Saccharomyces cerevisiae S288C: one gene and its partners. The gene in region 2 interacts genetically with the main gene of each other region. Each region holds a gene or a part of one and is shown on either strand. Other genes may lie near its edges.

The links.
Region 1: mutations in GYP1 (region 2) and COG7 together harm fitness more than expected from each alone (negative genetic interaction), as found in Saccharomyces cerevisiae (6 studies listed by BioGRID, with this or other methods).
Region 3: mutations in GYP1 (region 2) and ERG3 together harm fitness more than expected from each alone (negative genetic interaction), as found in Saccharomyces cerevisiae (5 studies listed by BioGRID).
Region 4: mutations in GYP1 (region 2) and GOS1 together harm fitness more than expected from each alone (negative genetic interaction), as found in Saccharomyces cerevisiae (6 studies listed by BioGRID, with this or other methods).

Annotation. Positions count from the first base shown.
Region 1 is NC_001139.9:484,456-492,423, forward strand, and holds COG7 (Golgi transport complex subunit COG7), read right to left. Parts: upstream 6,093-7,968; coding exon 5,253-6,092; downstream 1-5,252. Other genes in the region: YGL006W-A (uncharacterized protein), read left to right, coding at 968-1,078; calcium-transporting ATPase PMC1, read left to right, coding at 1,466-4,987; RPN14 (Rpn14p), read right to left, coding at 6,248-7,501. UniProt on the Saccharomyces cerevisiae protein: Acts as a component of the peripheral membrane COG complex that is involved in intra-Golgi protein trafficking.
Region 2 is NC_001147.6:455,407-464,266, reverse strand, and holds GYP1 (GTPase-activating protein GYP1), read left to right. Parts: upstream 1-6,446; coding exon 6,447-8,360; downstream 8,361-8,860. Other genes in the region: YOR072W (uncharacterized protein), read right to left, coding at 2,451-2,765; NRT1 (nicotinamide riboside transporter), read left to right, coding at 2,991-4,787; VPS5 (sorting nexin 1), read right to left, coding at 8,472-8,860. UniProt on the Saccharomyces cerevisiae protein: GTPase-activating protein (GAP) that stimulates specifically the intrinsic GTPase activity of Ypt/Rab-type GTPases YPT1 and YPT7. Functions on the Golgi as a negative regulator of YPT1. Functions on the vacuole as a negative regulator of YPT7.
Region 3 is NC_001144.5:252,352-260,231, reverse strand, and holds ERG3 (C-5 sterol desaturase), read right to left. Parts: upstream 6,372-7,880; coding exon 5,274-6,371; downstream 1-5,273. Other genes in the region: REX2 (Rex2p), read left to right, coding at 1-494; glycine hydroxymethyltransferase SHM2, read left to right, coding at 831-2,240; putative mannosidase MNL2, read right to left, coding at 2,377-4,926; SAGA complex subunit SPT8, read left to right, coding at 7,152-7,880. UniProt on the Saccharomyces cerevisiae protein: C-5 sterol desaturase; part of the third module of ergosterol biosynthesis pathway that includes the late steps of the pathway. ERG3 catalyzes the introduction of a C-5 double bond in the B ring to produce 5-dehydroepisterol.
Region 4 is NC_001140.6:38,315-41,256, forward strand, and holds GOS1 (Gos1p), read right to left. Parts: upstream 1,173-2,942; coding exon 501-1,172; downstream 1-500. Other genes in the region: GUT1 (glycerol kinase), read right to left, coding at 1-194; ECM29 (Ecm29p), read left to right, coding at 1,770-2,942. UniProt on the Saccharomyces cerevisiae protein: Involved in transport from the ER to the Golgi apparatus as well as in intra-Golgi transport. It belongs to a super-family of proteins called t-SNAREs or soluble NSF (N-ethylmaleimide-sensitive factor) attachment protein receptor.

The DNA of each region.
Region 1 (7,968 bases), on a different chromosome or scaffold from region 2:
GAAATTAAGGAAAAATAAGGCAAAAAGTGGGTGGATGCATCTGCGACTTCTCTAGTTTTGCGCCTACTTGGGCGCGCTAATAATAAGGGTTTAGCTTCTTAAAATAAAAATGTCAGTAACAGTTGTACGATAAGGTCTTTACTTTTTTTCTCTCGAGAAATGTCTTTTTCTAATTAATCTCTCTTTTCTGTTGTTGGTTACTGCCTTCCATAGTCCAAGACCATTCGTTATATGGTGCAGTGTAGGATCGAGGAGAATCGGCTCACGGTGCTTATATTATTGCCCGGCTTCAAGTATATTTACATCAGTCTCCATAGTTGTTTTATCTTATTCTTGGCATTGATCTGCTTATTAAACTATTTATCGGTTCTCTCTTCTGGTACAGAACTTAACATGATCTTGTTTTCACTATTGTGCCATAAGCTGAAAAGGCTAAAATAAAATTAAGATAGTAAAGTTCACTCTTAAACTAATCAAGCATGAATAATACAAAATAAATATTTGAGCCAAAGGGGATGATTTAATTATCAAGTTTTTCTTTTCATACTTCGGTTTACAAGCATTGTTTACGGCTCTTCTTTTCTTAGTTCTTGGCAGTTTGTGTTTTCTTGATGAGAATAAGAAAAGTATCGATCTTACGGCAAAACATAAATAAAACACAACTTTATCTTTTTTTGTCGCAGTAGTGTGGTCCTACAGCTCCAAGCCTGCCGCTTTTAAAATAGTGAGCTGTGCATACTGATATATGTTCTATTTTACCCATTTGAGGGGCCTAAATTGTCTATTAATTTTTTTACTTTAATACAGTTTGTATAGAAACATGTGGCACTAACAGCTTTATCCGCCCGCAGAAAAGATAAAAAAAAAGGGTTTTTACCCGGCAAAGAAGCTTCTCCATCATTTGTCAGGGGGAAAAGAAAATTAGGAGGCTCAGGCCCTAGAAGCGCCCTCCACGCTTTTTAAACAAATGCTAATCTTCATAATTCATTATCATCGCCACTTGGCATTGCATTTAATGGGCGCCTTCCAAAAACATTCAAATAGTATCAGCCCCCCCCCAAGGAAAGGCTTTATTTGAATTGCGTTAAATATTCGATTTCTTTCTAGCAATTATTACCAAAATAAATTGCAGGCTTAACGAAAAATTAAATAATCTCTTCAGATTTTTTCACTTCCCCAAACTACATTTTAGTCAGGTTGGCACGATTCAATTGAGAAGGCTTAGGTTAAGAATAAACATTTTTTCATAAATTTGAGGAAGAAGGGGCTTTTCTGGTAATTTTCATTCAATAGAAAGGCTTAAGAAAACGTCAAAAAACTCATGCGCCTCCAGTAAAAACTAAGTGTATTAAGAGAATTGTATCACATATATACGACATTGAATTAAAGAAATAAAACTTGAACAAATAAAGTTTAGAAAAGTGGTTCTAAAAAAAAAAAAACTGTGTGCGTAACAAAAAAAATAATGTCTAGACAAGACGAAAATTCTGCTTTACTAGCGAATAATGAAAATAACAAACCATCGTATACGGGAAATGAGAACGGAGTCTACGATAATTTCAAATTATCAAAAAGTCAACTTTCGGATCTTCATAACCCTAAATCAATAAGATCATTTGTCAGATTATTTGGATATGAGTCTAACAGCCTCTTCAAATACTTGAAAACAGATAAAAATGCAGGCATTTCTCTTCCAGAAATATCAAATTATCGAAAGACAAACCGGTATAAAAATTATGGCGATAATTCACTTCCTGAAAGAATACCAAAGTCTTTTTTACAATTAGTATGGGCTGCTTTTAATGACAAAACAATGCAATTACTGACAGTCGCCGCTGTTGTTTCCTTTGTTTTAGGTCTATACGAACTATGGATGCAACCTCCACAGTATGATCCTGAAGGAAATAAAATTAAGCAAGTTGACTGGATTGAAGGGGTTGCTATCATGATTGCGGTCTTTGTGGTAGTTCTAGTGAGTGCCGCTAACGATTACCAGAAGGAGTTGCAATTTGCAAAGCTAAATAAAAAGAAGGAAAACCGTAAAATTATAGTCATAAGAAATGATCAGGAAATATTAATTTCCATTCACCACGTTTTAGTCGGTGATGTCATTTCATTACAAACCGGTGATGTTGTCCCCGCTGATTGTGTTATGATATCAGGGAAGTGTGAGGCAGATGAATCATCCATCACTGGTGAATCTAACACAATACAGAAATTTCCGGTGGATAACTCATTAAGAGATTTCAAAAAATTTAATTCTATCGATAGTCATAACCATAGCAAACCATTAGATATAGGTGACGTTAACGAAGACGGTAACAAGATTGCTGATTGTATGTTGATTTCAGGTTCCAGAATTCTCTCTGGCTTGGGCAGGGGTGTCATCACGTCCGTGGGTATAAACTCAGTTTACGGTCAAACCATGACTTCATTAAATGCCGAACCTGAAAGTACTCCATTACAGTTACATTTGAGCCAATTGGCTGATAATATATCCGTTTACGGTTGCGTGTCTGCTATAATTCTTTTCTTGGTCCTTTTCACTAGGTACTTATTTTACATAATACCTGAGGATGGCAGGTTCCATGATCTAGATCCCGCTCAAAAGGGTTCTAAATTTATGAACATTTTTATCACATCTATCACGGTTATTGTGGTGGCTGTTCCGGAAGGTTTACCATTAGCTGTAACTTTGGCCTTAGCGTTTGCAACAACAAGAATGACAAAAGACGGTAATTTAGTACGGGTTTTAAGAAGCTGTGAAACGATGGGATCTGCTACTGCAGTGTGCTCTGATAAGACTGGCACTTTGACAGAAAATGTCATGACTGTCGTTCGTGGCTTCCCGGGCAATTCTAAATTTGATGATAGTAAATCGTTGCCCGTTAGCGAACAAAGGAAGCTGAATTCTAAGAAAGTTTTTGAAGAAAATTGTTCGTCATCCTTGAGAAATGATTTATTAGCCAATATTGTCCTGAATTCTACCGCCTTCGAAAACAGAGATTATAAGAAAAACGATAAAAATACAAATGGTAGTAAAAATATGTCAAAAAATTTGAGTTTTTTAGATAAGTGTAAATCTAGATTATCGTTTTTTAAAAAAGGCAACAGGGAAGATGACGAGGATCAATTATTCAAAAATGTCAACAAGGGTAGGCAAGAACCCTTTATTGGCTCTAAAACGGAAACAGCCTTACTCAGTTTGGCAAGATTATCATTAGGATTACAACCGGGAGAATTGCAATATTTGAGAGATCAACCGATGGAAAAGTTTAATATCGAAAAAGTTGTTCAAACAATTCCGTTTGAAAGTTCTCGTAAATGGGCCGGCTTAGTGGTAAAGTACAAAGAAGGCAAAAATAAAAAACCATTTTACAGGTTTTTCATTAAAGGTGCAGCAGAAATTGTTTCCAAGAATTGTTCGTACAAGAGGAATTCAGATGATACTTTGGAAGAAATCAATGAGGACAATAAAAAAGAAACTGATGATGAAATCAAAAATCTTGCGTCCGATGCTCTCAGAGCCATAAGTGTTGCCCACAAAGATTTCTGCGAATGTGATAGCTGGCCCCCTGAACAGCTGCGTGATAAAGACTCACCAAATATAGCTGCTCTTGACTTGCTATTTAACAGTCAAAAGGGCTTAATTCTAGATGGTTTACTTGGGATTCAAGACCCTTTACGTGCAGGCGTTAGGGAGTCAGTACAACAGTGCCAACGTGCTGGTGTAACTGTGCGTATGGTTACTGGTGACAATATATTAACAGCAAAAGCAATCGCGAGGAATTGTGCGATTCTTTCTACTGATATTAGTTCAGAGGCTTATTCTGCAATGGAAGGCACTGAATTCAGAAAGTTAACGAAAAACGAACGTATAAGAATCCTGCCAAATTTAAGGGTCTTAGCAAGGTCTTCGCCTGAGGATAAAAGGTTATTAGTAGAAACATTGAAGGGGATGGGAGATGTTGTTGCGGTCACTGGCGATGGTACGAACGATGCTCCAGCTTTAAAGCTAGCTGATGTTGGTTTCTCAATGGGTATTTCCGGTACGGAGGTTGCCAGAGAGGCTTCTGACATTATTTTGATGACTGATGATTTCTCAGCTATTGTCAACGCTATTAAGTGGGGAAGATGTGTTTCAGTCTCCATAAAAAAGTTCATACAGTTTCAATTAATTGTTAATATCACCGCAGTGATTTTAACGTTCGTTTCATCCGTTGCATCTAGTGATGAAACATCAGTACTGACGGCGGTCCAACTGTTATGGATCAATCTAATCATGGATACTCTAGCAGCTTTAGCTTTAGCCACTGATAAACCCGATCCAAATATCATGGACAGAAAACCTAGGGGCCGCTCAACTTCTTTGATTTCTGTGTCAACTTGGAAAATGATTCTATCACAAGCTACATTGCAGTTGATAGTTACTTTCATTTTGCATTTTTACGGGCCAGAGTTATTCTTCAAGAAACATGAAGATGAAATAACAAGTCACCAACAGCAGCAACTGAATGCCATGACATTCAACACTTTTGTTTGGTTGCAATTTTTTACCATGTTAGTATCGAGAAAATTAGATGAAGGTGATGGTATATCAAACTGGAGAGGCAGGATTTCTGCCGCCAATTTGAATTTCTTCCAAGACTTGGGTAGAAACTATTATTTTCTCACGATCATGGCGATCATTGGCAGCTGTCAAGTTTTAATCATGTTTTTTGGTGGCGCACCATTTTCTATTGCCAGACAAACCAAATCAATGTGGATAACCGCGGTACTGTGTGGTATGTTGTCTCTAATCATGGGGGTGCTAGTGAGAATCTGCCCCGATGAAGTAGCAGTGAAGGTATTTCCGGCTGCTTTCGTTCAAAGATTCAAGTACGTATTTGGACTCGAGTTCCTCAGAAAAAACCATACTGGAAAACACGACGATGAAGAAGCGCTGTTGGAGGAATCTGATAGTCCAGAGTCCACCGCCTTTTATTAATAGACGCGCTCTATATGTTTATACAAATGTAAGTGACCAAATGAAAAGATGTGTGTAATAGTTATATTTTCAAAATTGTACACTATATTATATAATCAATAAAAAGAAACTATCTGAAATAGCATGTCCTCCTAAACAAATTCCTTTTTACCCTTTTATGCATTACAAGTGGACCAAAAGGACTGGAAATGGTAAAAAGAAATAAGAATTTAAACATGCTATAAATTTCTTTTGTTAATTGCAAATTTTTTGTTTTTATCACCGATTATGATATCATACCATCGTCAATATTCTTGGTTGATAAATAACTTTGTGCTTTTGATTTTATGCTCTCCGAAAAGTTGCTATACTCAGCAAAGAACTTATCTAGGCCTTTAAACAGACATTTCAGTTCAGAAAGTGAATCAATTCTCCCAATCAAATCCTTGTTTGTTTCATCTTTAGCCTCGTTATCAATCGCAGAGCTTAAAGATTCATCGATTGTATCCTCTAATGCTTTCAATGATGTTCTAAAATCTGTTATCGAAAGATCTGTCCCCGTGCTGGTTGTATTATTTTCTCTAACTGTCGAAATATTCGTAACGGTCCTAACTTGTTCCAGGTAATATACCACTTTTTCAATTCTCTCCTTAATCAACATTAAACTTTGCAGTTGTTGCCTCACATTGGTATTGCGATTATTTTCGTTATCTAGATCGCTTAGTTTCTCAGTTACATTATGCATTCCTGTTTCTAATGCTCTTACAGCACTTGCCAACGTATCTAAGTAATATTCAAGCTTCGATGATTTTAAGGATTCAGTAGAATACAATGAGGAATCGTTCTGTTCTGCTTCTTTGTGATACCTAGAAGATGCCCAAGTTCTTGGTAACGTTTGAGATAATTTATCCAAATTCCATATGGTGCTTTCCAACTCTTTTGTAAGGTTCTTTGTGTAAAAATCCAACCTGGTTAATAGCAATGAGGATACTGATTGCGTTTGAATCTGATCTTCGTTTAAGGCATTTGATAAGAGTATATCAACGAATGCATGGGGAACGAACTCCTCATCAAAAAACATACTCAATATATCATCATCATCACCCGTAATTGTCAACTCTACCATATTCTGCTTAGTTTGGCCTTCTTGTTCTTAGTGAATTGTTCTATTTTAGACATATTTCATATGGAAATAAAATGCATTATCACCCTCAAAGCGCATTACGCCAAGCTCATGCAGCGAAGTGAACTTTTTTGAAAAAGTTACTAGTACGAAAGAGGTTAAGGATTACTTAAGTTATACAAAGCGCAGAAGTTGTTTTTTCCAACTTCAAGCACCTCCCCATTTGATTCATCATCAGAAACGTAACAGAATTGGCTGACCTCATCGTCATTGGAAACTAAAAAGGTGGGCGTCTCAAATTCAATAGCGGGCCGTTCACTTTCTGGGTCTGAAATAATGTCAAGCTTAATACTGGTGTCGAATCCAGAAGATACAAATAAGGCTCCGGCTGCAAAGTAGACATTGTTTATTGGGGTGCCTTCATTAATTAAAAACTCACCAACTGGGCATTCCGGTGATCTTAGATCCCATTGAGCTAGCATTCCATTTTCATATCCGGCATAAATATAGTTTGCATTATTGCCATCGACTGTCAATGAATTACATGAACATGTGAACTTGCTTGGGAGTTGAATAGTTTGCTCTTTGGAAAATACATTATGTACAGTAATAACACCAGAAACGTGACCAGCAATCACATATTTTCCATATGTTCCAAACTCTAGATTATTTTTCTTGGAAGTAGAAATTTCATGTAATTGTCTGTCTGTCCCTACGAACAGCGCTATGCTGTTAACACCATCATGCGGGTTTTCTTTTCTGTTAAACGTGTGAATTGTCGTTCCTGTGCCGCACTCCCAAAGGCGAATTGTACCATCCAAAGAGGCAGAGAGCACATTCCTTCCTCGGTCTATTATGGCAATATCTGTGACTGTCGCCCTGTGTCCAATTAACGTGCGAGGATTTGAGCCGTCTTTTACTGACCAGATCTTTAATTGCATATCCTGTGAACTAGATATCAAAGCTTCACCGCTTGGAAAAAACTTTAGTTTTGTTATTTCACTAACGTGAGCTTGGTCAATTTCTCTTTGAAGGTTGAAATTTGAATCCAATACTTTAATATCGCCTTCTGTAGTGCCTAATATGAACCGTCTCATCTGAAGTTTAGCTGTGTCTACGGCAGTATAATCCGCCCTCTTGAGCATCTTTGAACCATCTCTTATGATAGTATTGAATAAAAAATCATGTCCATCCAACCGCGCCTTGTATAAGTGGGAGCCAACCTTTTCAAATGTATTTCCTTTGCCTGCATCTACACCCCTGCTATTTCCTAACACTACTATCTTATGCTCCTTGATTTCATTTAGGTTTTTGTCAACATTGATGTAAAATTCATCGTCATTTTCATCATTTTCTTCCAGAACAGCTTTAAAATCATACTGGATATGAGCAACTGTGATGGTCTTAGTCATTGTCGTTTCTATTGTACTTCGCTATTTCTTTTTACTTTCTGCTCTTAGGGTTGAAAACTTAATTTTTCGAAGCTTCTTTTGCCGATTTCTAGATTATTCGCCCATCCTGACGCCTGTAATATGTCATGTTAAAAACATCACAAAAGTTAATAAGGTTAACTGAGCCTTATTCCCAAATCCTGACAAGGACAAATGCCATTTTTAATGTGCAAGAAAAAGGTTCCATCCAGTTTTCTAATAACTGGATGACGAAATTTTAACGGAACTTATTAACCGTCTCTTTTTATATTGTTACGTATTTTGTATGCTTGGTAGGTACGTTACCTTAGTACATAAGTGTTATCGTTAAAATCTTCTCACTGAAACAATTGAACTAATCAACCGACCTTGTTAGATGAGTGAGGTGTAAGTAGAACTATATGAACTACTGGGCATTCGCAACAACACCATCAGATATACTAGTACAC
Region 2 (8,860 bases):
TATTATTTAGATGCATTTTTCCCAGCTTTAACCTTTTTATTTAAAGGAAATTATAAAAAAAATTTTAAAAAAATGAGTTTTGCGTATCCAATAAATAATAGACAAGATGCTGTCACAACAGTATTAAAATTTCTGAAAGATTCTGCTGTCTCTGGACTGTGTAATACAACAATTCTTCGGAAAACTTGATTCGGAATAAACAATGGTCTTTCATTTATGGAAAATTTTCTTCTTTGTCTCGGTCACTAAAAAAAGCCTTAGCAAAGCTATATAGAAAGAAAATAGTGATATGGTGTATTTGCCGTAAAACTATGGTTTATCCAAGGTCGCCTTCAGTAAACTTTCGGAAATATATTCATCGGAGATATATTATATAATGAGTACATAGCAATCTAATCATGCTGGGTCTTCTTGCACCCCAATGAAACCATAATCATGTAAATGCTTGAAAATTCCGGGCATACTATCCTCTTCCTCAATAACCCAATCGAAGTAGAGTGCTAGTTGTGCACTATGTCCTTGCTGCTCATTAAATAAATTTACTGACAGTTTGGTGGAATTTCTTTGTTCGATCAGATAGTACTGTTAGGTATTTGTTGACATTTACTTCCCTATCACATCAGACCACTGTTTCTCCTTCCTTTTTGCCATCTTCTTACCTATTATATGATAATATAGTTCAAAAGGAAATACCAGTCAATGAATGATAATTGGCTCTTACTCCAACCGTTCTTAATCTGGACCAGTAATTGTTCTTATGGTGAAAAAGTATGGTGACGTCTTTACTTTTAAAAATATTTTTAACAGTTGAAGGAGCTCCCCGTGTACATCTTGCCAGATCTTCAAGAGAAATGTCACCAAATAAATTATGAAATTAAAGTACAGCGGTAGTGATAAAAACGATCATCAAGTAGTGCCATCCGATATTTCGTGTCAATTTCCAAGCTCATGATTTATGACATACAGGATTTTCAAGAATATTAAATCTTGTTCCTGAGGAATTTTTGATAAATCCAATAAATAGTAAATAATAAGAAAAAAGACAGAACAACAACGTTTTGGTGGGAGAAAGGCCACTTCTCTGACCAGACTAGAGTACTAATATTTACGACAAATATACTGAGACCGTGACCAATGGTAGAAGGTGATTGGCTTGAAAGAAATGCCAACATTAAAGCACATATCACTGCTCTTGATATCAGTAGAGTTGCAAAAAAATTATACTACTAAAATCAGCTCAACGGCAAGAAGTTACTAAGCACAGCAGAAATTCTGGAGCTAAAGAGAATAATATACATACAAGACTGACTGAAAACTCTGTTTTCCACATGCAGTGGACTCAAAATATTCAGTTGAAGAAGCAAGCACAAAATTGGATCAACCCGTCGCGTCGCGGCCGCTGCTGCAGGCGACAAATCCACTGGCAAATTGTACGCGGCCTCGTTACTCCTACTTGAAAACAGAAGTAACAACAACAAATTCAAGTTTCTACGAAATGGGTCTCATGACGACAAGGTGCGCCCCCCTATCTACCTTGTTGTAAGTCTGGGACCTGGGGCTAATTTCTCATCCCCGGAAACAAAAGTATACAACTACGTGGCTAAAAATTTTTTAGTATGCAGCACATAGGATGCCAAGGAGCAATTTTTAACCCTGGCAATCTGAGCTACTGAACGGCCGCCTCAGGACTCATAGTTCTCTATATATAATTTCTCCATGTTTCTCCTTGTGCCTGGTGGAAAATATCAAGTAGTTGCCGCGACATAAAATGAATGCCTCGTAGACACCGCGAAGCCGGAATGAAGGCGGACACTACGGCACCGCCTCAAACCCAACGGCCGAGAGCGAGTTCATCTCCCTCATAGATGCGAACGGCATTGGCACTGACGCCATCATTGTAGAACATATAGACAAGATTAAAATGCGTAATCACATCATGAATGGGAAGTTAGGTGCGGTCCACTACCCTGGGGGCCTCACTGGGGACGTCATCACCCCCAAAGCACCTCAATAAGTCCATAAATAAATATATAAAAATTACTGAATAATAATAAAAAAAATAAATTAGTTCAGTCTAAAGAAATGGAAGCAAAAACCTCAAAAAAAAAATTTTTTTACGAAGACTATGCTTCCAAGACTGACGTCTTAGAGGCATAGTCGAGAAGAAAAGGAATTACTGGCACAGAACGACAAGAAATATCGTGTCGGCGCCAAGGCATCTATGTAACTACGTCTTGTGATCACCGGTATAGCTGGGACTATTCCGTTTCATCATATGATCTGGCCGTCTGCGCTTGTACATTCTGGGCGCCAGGCGTAAATGACCAGAGTAATGTCTTGCTGTAGTCGTCCGTCGCCACAGAAGCGCGTGGACGCATGATCGCGCGCAGCGACCGGTCGGTTCGCAAGACGGTTGGCAATAGGAGTTTCCTGCTGACCGCCTTATTAATTTATATGAAAGAGGAGAATTTGTCATCGGGCTTTCGAATGAAATAAAACAGCTCCTTTAAGTAATGGAACTGGAAGAAGGAAGAGAATAAACGACAGAATTTTCGTGCTCGGAGCGAACACCGCGCCGGGTTACGAACAACAGTGGCCACTACTATAATAGTTATGGAGTAGACGTCAGAATATATAGCGCAGGCGTCAGAGTATAGCGCGGGCGTCAGGATATAGTGTGCCAATGTAGCGTGGTTGCATGCAGCTAGCTTTTTAGTTGAGTCAGACCTGCTCCAAAAAAAGAGGAACACAACTTTCGTCAGCATGTGTTGCTACCGCTATTTGTTCTTCGGGGAAAAAAATTTGCATTCGCTATTGTAGTTTTAATTTTCCTTCTCTATTCTCATAAATAGAGTTAAAATCTTATAAACTCCAGAATTATCAAGAACAATTACCTATATTATTTCCTATTGCAGAATTTATATTATTCTTTATTGTACTGATATCCCCATTATAACTATCAAAAAAAGGACTTCAGCACCTGTATCATCATGAGCTTCAGTAGTATAGTCTCTAAGTTTTTGAGATATTTAGAAATTCCTGCCAAAAATAGGACTGCCGTGAATTTTCTGAGGAACCCTGATTTGCAACCTATCAAGTCTGCAAATCAAACATGGGGGTTCTGGTCTAATTTGGCGTACTGGGGCGCTGTGTCCTTTACAGCAGGTACATGGATGAGTGGTTCTGCTGCACTAAGTGTCGGCCTAAGTTACCCAGAGACCATTGTTTCGTTTCTTCTCGGTAATGTCTTGACCATTATTTTCACTATGGCCAACTCTTACCCCGGTTATGATTGGAAAATCGGTTTCACCTTGGCCCAAAGATTCGTTTTTGGCATTTACGGTTCAGCCTTCGGTATCATCATTAGAATTTTGATGAGTATTGTCAATTATGGTTCCAACGCTTGGTTGGGTGGTCTATCTATCAACATGATATTAGATTCCTGGTCCCACCACTATCTGCACCTGCCCAATACTTTGTCCCCAAGTGTTGCCATGACCACCAAGCAGTTGGTCGGCTTCATTATTTTCCACGTCCTCACCGCGCTCTGCTATTTCATGAAACCCTACCATATGAACTACCTTTTAATTTGGTCATGTGTAGCTACTTGCTTTGCCATGCTGGGTATAGTGATTTACTTGACTAAGAATGCCCATGGTGTCGGTGAATTGTTTACCTCCACAAAATCTACCGTTACTGGTTCTAAAAGAGCATGGGCTTGGGTTTACATGATTTCATACTGGTTCGGTTCCATTTCTCCAGGTTCCACCAACCAAAGTGACTATTCAAGATTCGGTTCCTCCAATTTGGCTATCTGGACCGGTAGCGTCTGTGCATTACTAATCCCAGCAACCTTGGTCCCAATCTTCGGTGTCATTAGTGCCTCCACCTGCGACAAATTATACGGTAAACAATTTTGGATGCCCATGGATATATTCGATTATTGGTTGACAAACAACTATTCTGCAGGCGCTCGCGCAGGTGCCTTCTTCTGTGGTCTTTGCTTTACCATGTCTCAAATGTCCTCCACCATCTCCAACTGTGGGTTTGCCACTGGTATGGATATGGCCGGTTTGTTGCCCAAATACGTCGATATCAAGAGAGGTGCTCTTTTTTGCGCATGTATCTCCTGGGCTTGTTTGCCATGGAACTTCTACAACTCTTCTTCTACTTTCTTAACTGTCATGAGTTCTTTCGGTGTTGTCATGACTCCTATTATTGCTGTCATGATCTGTGATAACTTTCTGATCAGGAAGAGGCAATATTCCATTACTAATGCCTTTATTCTAAAGGGTGAATACTATTTTACCAAGGGTGTCAACTGGAGAGCTATCGTTGCCTGGGTGTGTGGTATGGCTCCCGGTCTACCTGGTATCGCTTGGGAAGTCAACAATAACTATTTCCACGACTCAGGTATTGTTAAATTCTTTTATGGTGATTCTTTCTTCTCCTTTTTGATTTCTTTTTTCGTTTACTGGGGGCTATGTGTCTTCTTCCCATTCAAAATTACTGTTAGACATGATGACAAAGATTACTATGGTGCATTTACCGACGAAGAAGCGAGAAAGAAGGGCATGATTCCATACAGTGAAATTTCTGAGGAAGAAATCCGTGCTTACACGTTAGGCGAATGCTACACAACTGGACACGAATACAAACCTGAGAGTTCTGATAACGAATCACCTGAATTGATCAAAACTAGCTCAGAAAACACTAACGTATTTGAAATCGTTCACCAAAAGGATGATGAAAAGCACTCCTTTAGTACCACTCAACAAGTTGTCTGATGACAAAGAATCCGATAAAATGAAGATCTCAAATATACAAAGAGGAAACTTCAACGCTTCATTTGAAAATCTGTACAGATCTTACAATTTGGGAATACTACCAGATCGATCCTCAGCTGCAAATACTTTACTGTCAAGTATGTCTATGGTGACAAATATCGGCATTATTGTGTATGGCTCAATAATTTTATAAAAAAAGGAACTATTGGTTCTTAGTATTTTCTTGCTAGAAGACATATTCTTACCAATCCTTTCATAAGCTAATTATGCCATCCATATAGCAAGAGAATCCGGTGGGGGCGCCATGCCTATCCGGCGGCAACATTATTACTCTGGTATACGGGCGTAACTCCATAATATGCCACCACTTACCTTTAACATGTTCATGGTAGGTACCCCACCCAGCCATAAGGAAATTTTCAAAGGCGTTGGATCAAAAAATAGGCCTTTATTTCATCGCGTGATTGAGGAGCATAACATGTTTAGTGAAGGTTTCTTTTGGAAAACTTCAGTCGCTCATTATTAGAACCAGGGAGGTCCAGGCTTTGCTGGTGGGAGAGAAAGCTTATGAAGCTGGGGTTGCAGATTTGTCGATTGGTCGCCAGTACACAGTTTTAAAAAGTCAGAGAATGTAGAGAAGTATGGATCTTTGAAACCCTTTTATTTTATTTTACTTTTTTTAGAATGACCTGTTCCCGACACTATGTAAGATCTAGCTTTTAACATATTATGGAAACCTGAAATGTAAAATCTGAATTTTTGTATATGTGTTTATATTTGGGTAGTTCTTTTGAGGAAAGCATGCATAGACTTGCTGTACGAACTTTATGTGACTTGTAGTGACGCTGTTTCATGAGACTTTAGCCCTTTGAACATATTATCATATCTCAGCTTGAAATACTATAGATTTACTTTTGCAGCCATTTCTTGGTGCTCCAAGGTTGTGCGTATCTATTACTTAATTTCTGTCCTTGCCAAGTTTTGCAGCAGGGCGGTCACAAGACTCCTCTGCCGTCATTCCTTAGTCCTTCGGGAACACACTTATTTATGTATTTGTATTCTACAATTCTACGGTGCACAAGGGTTGGGCACTGTTGAGCTCAGCACGCAACTATTGCTGGCATGAAGATAAGATTGATTTTTGGAAGAATAAGCTTGTGGAAGTTACCTGTCTCTTATTTTTTTTTCCTTTTTGCACTTTTTTTTGGTGATCACTTAGGTAACAATCTATAACACAGCAGTATGAACCCACTAGTTAACCATTCTGCGCCGATGGTATACCTTTTTCATTGCTTAATTGTCTGTGAGAGGCTTGATAAGCTAAGGCTCATGGCGATAAATCCACGATGAACTCGTTTAATGCAAAATATAGGTCGCGGCTTGCCGGGTACCAAGTCGCAACAAAGCTCCCCGAATTGTTTCGCCCATTCATCTGACAGGACAGAATGCCAAACATATGATGCATGATGCAGCAAAGAGCACAGTAATCACTATTTTCTGCATATCATATAGCCAGATTGCTATAGTGTTTGGCTTTTGTCCTGCTGTTAATTGTTTTGTTTTCTTTCTATTTTTATAACTATTATTGGAGAGTAGATCAAGGATACAAATAACAACAACAACCACCAATACCGACCACTTAATAAAAGTAACCATATAATGGGTGTGAGATCCGCTGCAAAGGAAATGCACGAACGGGACCATAATTCGGACAGTTCCAGTTTAGTAACTTCCCTGATGAAATCTTGGAGGATATCGTCGGCTTCTTCCTCCAAGAAGCCATCGTTATACAAAATGAATACTACTGAATCTACTAGTTTACCCTCGGGTTATGCTTCCTCGGCAGATAGAGATCGGAGAACCAGTGACGGTAATTTTGAAGCTATGGCAAAGCAACAAGCAAGCACTAGACGTACCTCGAATTCCTATTCACCTCTACGATATGTAAACCCCACTCTAAGCACTGCAAGTAACGAAAGTCCCCGGCCTGCTTTACTCTTACGTCAGCATCACCAGCGTCATCACCACCATCAACAACCCCGCCATAGCAGTAGTGGTAGTGTAGGCAACAATTGCAGTAACAGTACAGAGCCTAACAAAAAGGGTGATCGATATTTCAAAGACTTAGATGAGGATTGGAGTGCTGTTATTGACGATTATAATATGCCTATTCCTATACTTACTAACGGTGGATTTGGTACACCTGTAGCTCCAACGAGAACTTTGTCGCGAAAATCCACTTCTTCTTCCATCAATTCGATTTCGAATATGGGGACCTCCGCAGTACGGAATTCTTCCTCCTCTTTTACATACCCTCAATTACCACAGCTGCAAAAAGAGAAAACAAATGATTCCAAGAAAACTCAGTTGGAAATCGAAAACGAACGGGATGTTCAAGAATTAAACTCCATCATCCAGCGCATTTCTAAATTTGACAATATTTTGAAAGATAAGACAATCATAAATCAACAGGATCTGCGCCAGATCAGTTGGAATGGTATCCCAAAAATACACAGGCCTGTTGTTTGGAAATTATTAATAGGTTATTTGCCTGTGAACACCAAGAGACAGGAGGGTTTCTTACAAAGGAAGAGGAAAGAATATAGGGATAGTCTGAAACATACCTTTTCTGACCAGCACTCAAGAGATATCCCAACTTGGCATCAGATAGAGATAGATATACCGAGAACAAATCCCCACATTCCCCTCTACCAGTTCAAATCCGTACAGAACAGTTTACAACGAATACTATATCTTTGGGCAATCAGGCATCCTGCTAGCGGATATGTGCAAGGTATTAATGATTTAGTTACACCATTTTTCGAGACTTTTCTTACCGAATATCTGCCGCCTTCACAAATAGATGATGTAGAGATAAAGGACCCCTCTACTTATATGGTAGATGAACAGATTACAGATTTAGAAGCGGACACGTTTTGGTGTCTTACCAAATTGCTCGAACAAATTACCGATAACTATATTCACGGACAACCAGGCATATTAAGACAAGTGAAGAATTTGAGTCAGCTAGTGAAACGAATTGATGCTGATCTATATAACCATTTTCAAAATGAACATGTGGAGTTTATACAGTTTGCATTCAGATGGATGAATTGCCTTTTGATGAGAGAATTTCAAATGGGTACAGTAATAAGGATGTGGGACACATATTTATCTGAAACTTCACAAGAGGTCACTTCTTCTTATTCTATGTCGTCCAATGACATTAAACCTCCTGTTACTCCAACAGAACCTCGAGTGGCAAGTTTTGTTACACCAACAAAAGATTTCCAATCTCCCACCACAGCTCTTTCTAATATGACACCAAACAATGCTGTTGAAGACAGTGGAAAAATGAGACAGTCTTCGTTGAATGAGTTTCATGTGTTTGTTTGTGCTGCATTCCTCATCAAGTGGAGTGACCAGCTAATGGAAATGGATTTCCAAGAAACTATAACTTTCTTACAGAACCCTCCTACAAAGGACTGGACTGAAACGGATATTGAAATGCTTCTGAGCGAAGCCTTTATTTGGCAATCTCTTTACAAAGATGCTACGTCGCACTGGCTGTAAACGGACCTATTCATTTTACTTACTGTATAGTATGTAATAATATAAAACAAAAATCTCCTAATTCATAAATCCTGAGGAACGTGACACATAAAGTTATTGTATACAGATCATCTAAAGATTGGTTTGGTAGAATGTCTCCCAAAGCTCGATGCATTCTTTTTGAGATTCAATGGCCGCTTCTAGTGATATTTCCATGCCGTTTCGGAATTCCCGAATTTTATCAGTAGAGAAACCTTGGAATTCATCTTTTATTTTATCTCCTACCGCTTGCCATTGTTTTTTTGTAAGGTTATACCTTCTCTCCAATGTTTGAAATTCCTTTCTCATTTCTCTGAATTTTTCTGAATGAATATTTTGACCCAATTTGCCCAATTGTGAGTGTTTCTTATTCATGTCATTTTCTATTACTACCAAGAAATACCCCAATTTGGATCTCTGATTGAAAATTGCTTTTACGCTTGCCAATGACCTAATATAGTCGTCCAGCATCACACCCATCG
Region 3 (7,880 bases), on a different chromosome or scaffold from region 2:
CCGAGGTGATGAACAAAATGAACGAGTGGTGTATTGAGCACCACGGTAATAGCGGTCTCACCGCCAAAGTTTTGGCAAGTGAGAAGACTTTGGCCCAGGTAGAAGATGAGCTGCTCGAGTACATCCAGCGCTACATCCCAGACAAGAACGTTGGCGTCTTGGCAGGCAATAGTGTACATATGGACCGCTTGTTCATGGTCCGCGAGTTTCCCAAGGTCATTGATCATCTCTTTTACAGAATAGTTGACGTCAGTAGCATCATGGAAGTTGCCCGCAGACACAATCCCGCTTTACAAGCACGTAATCCAAAAAAAGAAGCTGCCCACACTGCTTATAGTGATATCAAAGAGAGCATAGCTCAATTGCAATGGTACATGGACAACTACTTGAAGCCACCACAGGAAACAGAGTCGGTCGAGTCAATCGGATCTGAACAGCCGGAGTCACCATCTTCATCTACCTCATCTTTGAAAAGACAACGCACCGATTTTTAATGTAGAAAAAAAAAAAGAAAAAAGAAGTGAAATTTTTCAAATATTTCACACACGAAACATGACTCCTGGTGAGAAATGACCCTTTCAGGTTGCTTTGACCATAAAGGTTTGACTCTATCTCTTGGGTTTCTCATGTTCGCTTTTTACTCTGTATAATTTTTAAATTCATAATCATCTTAGACCGAACCATGAGTCTTCTTCATCTTGTTTTATATATAATGCAGAACTTGCTTCCCTTAGTTTGCGTTCAGTAATCTTTCCTTCTTCTAGTGTAACCTTTACGAAAGATACTACCCCATAGCAAAGCATAACAGCTTAAACCGAATCCTCCTTAACATGCCTTACACTCTATCCGACGCTCATCATAAGTTGATCACCTCTCATTTGGTGGACACCGACCCTGAAGTGGACTCCATTATCAAGGATGAAATTGAAAGACAAAAGCACTCCATCGATTTGATTGCTTCTGAAAATTTCACCTCAACCTCCGTTTTCGATGCCCTTGGAACTCCATTGTCCAACAAATACTCTGAAGGTTATCCAGGTGCTCGTTACTACGGTGGTAATGAACACATTGACAGAATGGAAATTCTATGTCAACAAAGAGCTTTGAAAGCTTTCCATGTTACTCCAGACAAATGGGGTGTTAACGTCCAAACTTTATCTGGTTCTCCTGCTAACTTGCAGGTTTATCAAGCTATTATGAAGCCTCATGAAAGATTGATGGGTCTATACCTACCAGATGGTGGTCATTTGTCTCACGGTTACGCTACTGAAAACAGAAAAATTTCTGCTGTTTCCACATACTTCGAATCTTTCCCATACAGAGTTAACCCAGAAACCGGTATTATCGACTACGATACTTTAGAAAAGAACGCCATCCTATATAGACCAAAGGTTCTTGTTGCTGGTACTTCAGCATACTGTCGTTTAATTGACTACAAGAGAATGAGAGAAATCGCCGACAAATGTGGTGCTTACTTGATGGTAGACATGGCCCACATTTCTGGTTTGATCGCCGCAGGTGTCATCCCATCTCCTTTCGAATACGCTGATATCGTTACCACCACCACTCACAAGTCTTTGAGAGGTCCACGTGGTGCTATGATTTTCTTCAGAAGAGGTGTGAGATCTATCAACCCTAAGACCGGTAAGGAAGTTCTATACGACTTGGAAAACCCAATTAACTTCTCTGTTTTCCCAGGTCACCAAGGTGGTCCACACAACCATACCATTGCTGCTTTGGCCACTGCTTTGAAGCAAGCTGCCACTCCAGAATTCAAGGAATACCAAACTCAAGTCTTGAAGAATGCTAAGGCTTTGGAAAGTGAATTTAAGAACTTGGGCTACAGATTAGTTTCCAACGGTACCGATTCTCACATGGTTCTAGTATCCTTGAGAGAAAAGGGTGTTGATGGTGCTCGTGTTGAATACATTTGTGAAAAGATTAACATTGCTTTGAACAAAAACTCTATTCCAGGTGACAAATCTGCTTTGGTTCCAGGTGGTGTCCGTATTGGGGCTCCAGCCATGACCACTAGAGGAATGGGTGAAGAAGATTTCCACAGAATTGTTCAATACATTAACAAGGCTGTAGAATTCGCTCAACAAGTTCAACAAAGCTTGCCAAAGGATGCTTGTAGATTAAAGGACTTCAAAGCCAAGGTCGACGAAGGCTCTGATGTTTTGAACACCTGGAAAAAGGAAATTTACGACTGGGCTGGCGAATACCCATTGGCTGTGTAAAGAAATCACCACAACGACACTTAATCCCAAAAAAATAAACATTACTGTATAAGTATTCATTTTCTCCTCTTCTCATTATGTATATATGTACCTATATGTATGTATGTATGTGCGTACGATTTTTCTAACGTTAACTTCATTTCTTTTTGATTATGTGCCCTCCTTGAGTTAAGATGTGTTTGTCCAGGGAAACCTTGTCACCATCGCTGAATAGTAGCAAATAGTATTTTAATGTTCTGGAGAACCAATAGCTAGGTAAATCATTGTTCACTTTTTCACCGTTTTCATAAAATTCCTTTATTTGCCACAATCCTTTGGCACCACTGTTTAGTTCCATTAATTCTTGCATTAAGATTCCAAAAGACTGCTTACCCATGCTTCTCCATTTTTGTTCTCCACTGATTCTGTACATATAAAATATAGATTCAATGATATTCGAATCCAACAATCTTCTGGATTCTACCTTGTTGACCCAAAATGGCCAGTCTGGATGGTTTTTCCACTGAGAACCCATGGTATCGTCCGTTGTAATATGCGGTTTGATATCCTTACCAAGCGTAAAAACTCTACGTATTTGCGTTACTTCGTCGCCGTCTATTTCAGCAATCGATTTCGAGCTTCCAACAGTATCACCTTTTATGTTTTGAGTCTCTGTTATCCCATCTTTGCTTAGTACATTTCTCTTAGCTTTCTGGTCATTCCCACCTTTCCCATAATTCGAAACTTTGATCCCGACATCTAGGTCATTTTCAAAAGTTTCATATTCGCCGTTGGCAATCATTCGTGATTTAGTTTCGCCGTTAAACTCGCAATTCCCATTAGTCTCATCAGTGCAAGGGTCCAACTCGAATTTTTGAGGGAGCAGCCCGTCGAACTCCTCCATTAGCATAAAACAACTTTCTGTTATTATTTCGCTCATTTCCAATAGTGACGATGGTAAAATATATTTCGTGTTGACACCGCCTCGGTGGGGAACACGTGAACTTAAACCTAGAATGCCGCCAAGTCTGCATGAGTATAACGAGACATCGTAAGATTTTCTTATCGTGACATCTAGCTCATTAGTCGTGGGCATGAATTGAGATTTTGTTAGAATGGAATTCAGAAAATTAAACTTTTTGTTTTCCGTTTGCTTGGGCAACATGGGTCGAAAAGTCATGAATTTAAAAATGTTACTGATGGAATTTGTTAAAAACGTTTGCGAGTCTATTAATGATTTATCACCTACGGTGTTTTTTGTCGAATCTTTTTTAGTACCGTCTTTAAAGTTTCTTTTCTCAATTATTTCGTCGACTGCTTCTACCTCTGAACCAATACTGGGGTCCATCGTTGCAGCATTAGCATTTTTACTTGAGCCGTCCAGGATATCATAAGAAGATTGGAAGAGGTCATTGATTTTGAATAGATTTTCTAGAATGGGTACTGTTTTTTCATTAATTCTATAAGCCTGGTATTGAGATTGTTCTTGGAGGCTATTATCATCTATTGGAGGATTTAAGAATTTCCCTAACTGCTGACAGTGTACGAACTTGAAATTTTCATTGATACTTTTCATGATGCTGGATCCCTTTAGGTGTGCACCATTCTCAATTTCCTCTTGAGTTAATAACTGGCAACCAGAGGCATCAACGACGTCAGGCAGCATAAACTCCATATCAAATTCGTTATATGATTGACGTATAGTGGTGAAAACTCTTTCAACAGCATCAAAATACTTATTCAAACGGGTTAACTGTGACAATCTGATAAACGCGAGTGCCATAGTAGTCAATTGACCTGATGGAACAGTACGGTCTGGAAATCGATTTCTCAGATCAGATTTCCAAAAATATTTCAAAATAGGAATTCTATTAGGGGTATCAAATGATCTTAATATGAAATCTGCAACATGTTTTGCTTTGTTAAGTAATCGTTTATCCATAGATAATTCGTATGCAGACAGTAACCCTTCTAGGACACGGGTAGTGATGTCAGGAATATCAATAACTTCCATTGCTAACGGAGGTACTCGAAAGTCAAAATCTTCTATTATATTAACAGAATCTTGAAAAAGTTTCGTCTCGCCACATAGATACAATGTATCTAGAGAATCAATTAGATCTATGGGCCAAGTAGATTCCCTTCTGAGGTTACTTTTCAGCAGCAACTGCTCTTGGTTCCATGATTTCATGAAAATGTCCTTTATCTGTTTTATCATATCAACATCTGGTGGCAATTGCATTGCCGGCTGTATCTTATGAACGTCATTCTGGCTTATAGAAGTTAAGGAAGGTGATGAGTATTCGAACAAGACGGGATACTTTTCCTTATATGTCAAAAGAGACGAAATTGGTAAATTCGAACCAATCTGGTGAGACGATCCCTTTAACAGCAAGGGAAAGTACTTGTTTTTTTCTCTCAATGTAGCTGGATCTGACAAATCCACTGCAACGTTGCCATTTTCCTTGTCGGTGGCTATTCGGTCAGAACCGGTTGACGATAGGTCTGGAGGATCCAGTTTCGAAGAACCTTCTGTATTGTGCTCATAGTTGTTTATGGACGGTAGTGAGTCGTTTAAAGCGTACGAATTCAAGATATCGATTTCATTCTGGAACGTATAGTAAAACAATAGCGATATGGTAATGAAAAGTAAGAGAACCGATCGTACTCTTCTGAAAAGAGAGTATACTAATCGCGCTATGGACATAAGGTTTTGCTTATAGAGTAGTGGCGGCCTTTTTCTAGTTAACACTTGCGCTTCACCGAAATCTTGGGCATTTTAAAGCTTCCAGCTTCCTATTTGCCTGTTCTTAAATTTTCCAGCTCTTCGATTTTCTGTTTTTTTTTTCACTAGAATAGGAAAAAGAGCCATTAAATGAACGCAAAAATTTAATATACGAATAGCGCATATTGCACTAACGTGAGGTGTACATCATAATGATATGCGTATCTTAAAACATGTATGTGTATATAAATATATAAACGTTATTCGTTGTGTGAAAGTTCTTGAACGTGAAAGAAAGAAAAAAGATGAGACAAACAAGGCAACCGTATTCAGTTGTTCTTCTTGGTATTTGGGTCGTTTTCATAGATTCTATCATTATCATCACCTTCGACCTCCTTGATGAAATGTTCAACTTCCTTAACTTGAGCGTCCCAGGTCTCCTTAGCATCTCTTAACTTAGGATCAAACAATGAGTCATCTGGTCTACGGTAAGAACCCCCTAGTCTGTCCCACAGAGTGGTGAATTGACCGTAGTTGTAGTTGAAATATAGATGGTGAACCGTGTGGCAGGCAGTACCGTTGACGGCAGGATTGTTTGATAGGTATTGACCGTCATGAATCATAACAGTCCAAAAGTTAACAAAAGTGAACAGAATCAAATAAGAAACCTTGTGTAATGGCAGAATCAATGGGTAGATGTGGTACGAGATGGATTGCAAAAACCCGTCTACAGGATGGAAAGAATGAGATGCGAAAGGTGTGCAGACCAGCCACTTGTGATGAGGCTTGTGCAGAGCACGGTAGACCCTTGGCCAATGCAACCATCTGTGCGCTAAATACACACCGCAATCAGTGAAAAAGATGAAAGTGAAGTACTCGATAATGAGCTTCCTTACACCGTGGTTTTCATAATCAATCTTCATGTATAGTTTAGAATGGCCGTTCAATTCCATAACAAACCATGGAACGGTCAACATCGACATCCATGGGATAGCACTGACTGCCAACTTGATTTCCATTGCCATTTGGTTTTTCAAGTAACGAGGATGGTTGAAAATCGACTTGTCAAACACAAACACGTAGCTGAGACTAGCCGTGAATAAGTAAAGTAGTAAACCAAAGATCGTAACAATAACCCATAGTGAGAGGAATTCTCTCAAGATGCTGGAACGAGGCAATAGCGATGCAAAAGACGTCGTCGACATATCAAACAGGAATGGCACCTGCCCGTAGAACCTTCTACATTCTTTGACGGCATTCTTGGAGTTCAAAGTCTCCTGCAAAATCGTAGAATTGCTGAACCCACTGTTCAACCCTAGCAATTTCTGCCACTTGACAGGAATATTAGCTGCCAACGAAGCGGGCAGAACTTTAGCGTACAAGTCGTCTAAGACATAATGGTCAGCGACTTCTAAGACCAAATCCATATCTCAAATCTAGACGAATATTTTTCTTATTATCTTTTTTTACAAATGCAACAAACTGACCTCCTCTGCAACCACTTCAAAGAACAAGACAAATGTAAAGAATGAATGAACAAGTGAATGAAAAAACGAATTGATAAGAAAGATAGAAATCCGCCTCTAATATATACCGCGATGTTTCTTTCGACCGTTACATAATAGCAGCAACAACAATACCCGATCGCTGCTGAACCTCTTGTTTCAATGCACCTGCTGTTCTTCTTCACCTTCTATTGTGCCACTTATACGAGCCTGAATTTTTCGTTTATCGCAGCCATCGGCCTCGTATACACCCCGGTTGCCCTGGGGCGCAACTAAACGACCGAAATAATGCCCGGGAGTTTTCGGGTGGTCTGCCCCGGGCACCGATCTCGGTCGTTTAGGCCGCAGTGGGTCGTGCCACACGGCAGCGATGCAAGGGACAACGCGTCGTAACTTGCGATGCCCGACAATCGCAACAAAAGGCGTCGTTTCGCGGTTTTTTCGTATCATTTTTTTTTTCAGTTTTTCTTCTTTCGGCTATGAAAAAAATGGCAGAGCTGCCCTAATCTATTTTTATGGATGCCCTAATATATTGTCACTCTGTACGTAGGGCTTCCAGAATGCCCTTTCAGGAAGGATTCTAGCATAATAGACGCATCATATATTATAGCGTAGTGGTGCCAGATGCTGGGCTGTAAAAGGCTGTAGCAGTAACTGTAGTGTACTAAAGGCTCAGTTTTTTTTTTTTTCTTCTTTTACGTAATGGACGAGGTTGACGATATTCTAATTAACAACCAGGTGGTGGATGACGAGGAGGATGACGAAGAGATGCTGAGTGGGCTGGAAAACGACTCAAAGCAGGACCTCGAGGGGAATGATGACGGTGGTGAAGATGAAGAGGATGACGATGATGATGATGAGGACGATGATGATGACGAGGACGAACGAGAGGACGACGATGAACAGGAGGACGACGATGGTGAGGACGACGCCGCAAGAATGGATAAGACTGCTACACCGACGAATGAGCACCAGCATGATGAGCAAAAGGCTGCTGCTGCTGGTGCTGGCGGTGCAGGCGATAGTGGCGATGCTGTTACTAAGATTGGATCCGAGGATGTGAAATTGAGCGATGTTGATGGAGGAGTGGGGTCCAGGGAAGCATCTTCCTCTACACACGAAGCCTCTGCTAATGGAGAGGTTTATGAGTACTATAAGCACATGTTGAATGCCGCACAGATTGCGGATTCGTACAATATCTACCCCACGGCAGCCATACCCATCCAGACGCACGTCAATGCGTTGGCCGTGTCCAGGGGTCTCAAGTACCTGTTTTTGGGCGGTAGCGATGGATACATAAGGAAGTACGACTTGCTGAACACGCTTGAGGGGAAACTTTCTCTAACTATCCTGCAGAAGCATTCGTTGGCTGAGTCTATTCAGAACGCGGGTATCTTGCAGTCGTACTGGGAAAATGAGATCCCGCAGAAA
Region 4 (2,942 bases), on a different chromosome or scaffold from region 2:
TTGAACAGAATGCATCTGGATGAGGTCGTTCCTACATCAATACTGGCGATAAGCGGGACGTAGTCACTTCGTAAATCTTCCATTATTTTGGACATACGGCTCTGTTCTTGTTTTAAACTAGTGTAAAGGCGCTGGCTTGATCGGAATATGTAACGTTTGGAGAATACTACAAGTCGGAAGAGAGAGGGAAACATATAACTATTTGTATAGTTCCGGCCACAACTCAAACCACATGGTATATTTTATATGGTTCGAGAACAGGCATCCCCCCACATTTTATTACACCTTATCCGTTCTAAAAGTCTTGGCTGTCTTTTTTTCCTTTCCTTTTCCTTTTTTTTTTTTCAATTTTTTTGTCAATGCAGTCAGCCCCTCACTATGCTACTCCACACCCTTTAATTGATGGTTTTACTCCAATTAGAAGAGAAGAATTACGAAATGGCCTGTATGGGTAGATTCTTGTTATGTTTTTACATACGTTGTTTAATAAAAGTCGTTATTTACCATGTGAAAAACAAAAACAGTATACAAAGGGTGGTTATCGTGGCCAATACAAACGCGTTTTTCTTCCTTCTCGTGTTAATCTTCATAATAAGCTGATTGACACCTGGTATTCTTTGTAAAGTTTGCAACACCTTGTTGTTTGCCGTGTTCAGCACGTTGCTCTGCGAGTGGAACTGCGACCGAGTCTCCCAGGCTTGGGAGATGAGACGGTCGACTACGTTGTTGGACTGATCGATTCGCCTTGTTTCGTTCTGAATGTACTCGTCAGCATCCCCTATAGGAGCTGGCGCGTCCGTTGTGGAATTAGCAATATCGTTCTTCACGCTGAATAACAAGTTTAGTCTGTTGCGCTCTTGCTGGATGGAGGACCTGATATTGCGGAAGCTCTTCCAGTGGTCTTGTAAGATCTCCTTGTGGCGGTGCAGTTGGGAAAGCTTTGAGGCGGAGATTGCCGGGTTAGAATCGCAGATTTGTGTTAATGAATCGATTACATCCTGTCTCTGGCCTAAGATTCCCTCCAACTGCTTGTCTATCTTCTTTTCTTGGCCAGTTTGTTCTGAACTAGTTGTCTGCGCGAATGTGGAGTACTTGGAAAGAAGTGACTCCGTTTGTGTTTCTAGAGAAATGGCCTTGCCCCTTATGGTGACGAAAGACGGTTGTGAGCTCATGTGGTGTGGTTGCTTGTCTGGAATTGGGCTTTTCCCTGTGTCTAGTTAGTTTATTTTTTCCTTGTCTTTTTATCTCTTTTTTTTTGTTTTTCGTTCTCTTTATTTTCAACAACGCCTAGAAAATTTGGTTACCAACCACACTATTGAACAAAGATAACTAACTGATTGAACAAGAGTAGGCGTCTTACACTGGGTTTGCAAGTGTCATTGACTTTTGTTGCATTGCTGTGAAATGCACATTCGGAGCAGTTGAAGGTCTCTTGCTGAATGCTCACATATTTTCAAAATATTGTTTTGGCTGCGGAGTTTGTGCCTGATCAGTAACTACCAATCTCGTGAGATTTTTCATAAGCATCTTTGAAAGCTTTTATACTTATTTGATCTTTGTATATATCAGGTTTTACCAGTTTAGCCGCCAGAGTTTTGGTATTTATGTGTTACCCGGTATATCCATATGCCTTTTCTTGGTGGCAAAAAAAAGGTACTTCCTGATATAAAGAAGCTGGTAAGCTCTCGATAACTGATCTCTTTGTCTTTGTGCAGGATTGGATAATACAATAATTATAGAAAAGTTTCTATTTCACCACGAACAACATTATGTCCATTTCTTCTGACGAAGCGAAAGAAAAACAGCTCGTGGAGAAGGCAGAATTGCGCCTGGCTATCGCAGATTCCCCTCAAAAGTTCGAAACTAATCTGCAGACTTTTTTGCCTCCATTATTACTAAAACTCGCCTCTCCACATGCCTCCGTTAGAACAGCAGTATTTTCAGCCTTAAAAAACCTCATTTCTAGGATAAATACGCTGCCCCAGGTTCAGCTTCCTGTGAGGGCGCTTATTGTCCAAGCAAAGGAACCCAATTTAGCCGCTCAACAAGACTCGACCAATGTCCGCCTTTACAGTCTGCTACTGGCGTCTAAAGGCATAGATAGGCTTTCCTTGCAAGATAGACAGCAGTTGCTACCGTTAGTCGTTTCGAACATCTCGTGTCTAACAGGCACAGTAGCCGCCAGAATGTTCCACATCCTTTTGAAGCTTATTTTGGAATGGGTTGCACCCCAGGAGTCTTCACATGAGCAGGAAGAATTTGTTCAGTTCCTTCAACTGGACAACGACGGTTTTTCGTTTTTGATGCGCCAATTTACCAGGTTTTTTCTGCTGGTACCTTCAAAGCAAGTCCAGGTTTCTCAACAGCCCCTGTCGAGAGGTTACACATGTCCGGGCCTATCTCTAACTGATGTGGCATTCTTTACTTATGATGCGGGCGTTACTTTCAACAAAGAACAGCTGAATAAGTTCAAAAAGGCTATTTTTCAATTTGTTTGCCGTGGCATGGCGGCTACCCAAACTATTGAGCAGTCACCTAGGATGATTGAACTGATGGAATTTTTGTGCGTTGTCTCTACGGATTCTACAAATTTATCTGATGATGCGGCTCAGTTCATGAAACGGTTTCCCATGCCTTATGAAAACGAAGAGTTCATCACCTTTCTTCAGACGCTGTACATCGGCAACACAGCAAATGGAAGACCGCCGGTCAAGGCTATCTTGCAAGAAAAAATCCTGTCCATATTAAACAGAAGTCACTTCGCCACCACCAAAGCAGAATGTATTTCGTTGATTTGCTCTATTGGATTGCATTCATCTGAGTATAAACTTAGATCTTTGACTCTTTCTTTTATTCGACACGTAGCAAAATTAAATTACAAAAATTTAAATCCTGCTTCTTCATCACCTTCATCAACAGACTTTTCCACTTGTATTGTTTCC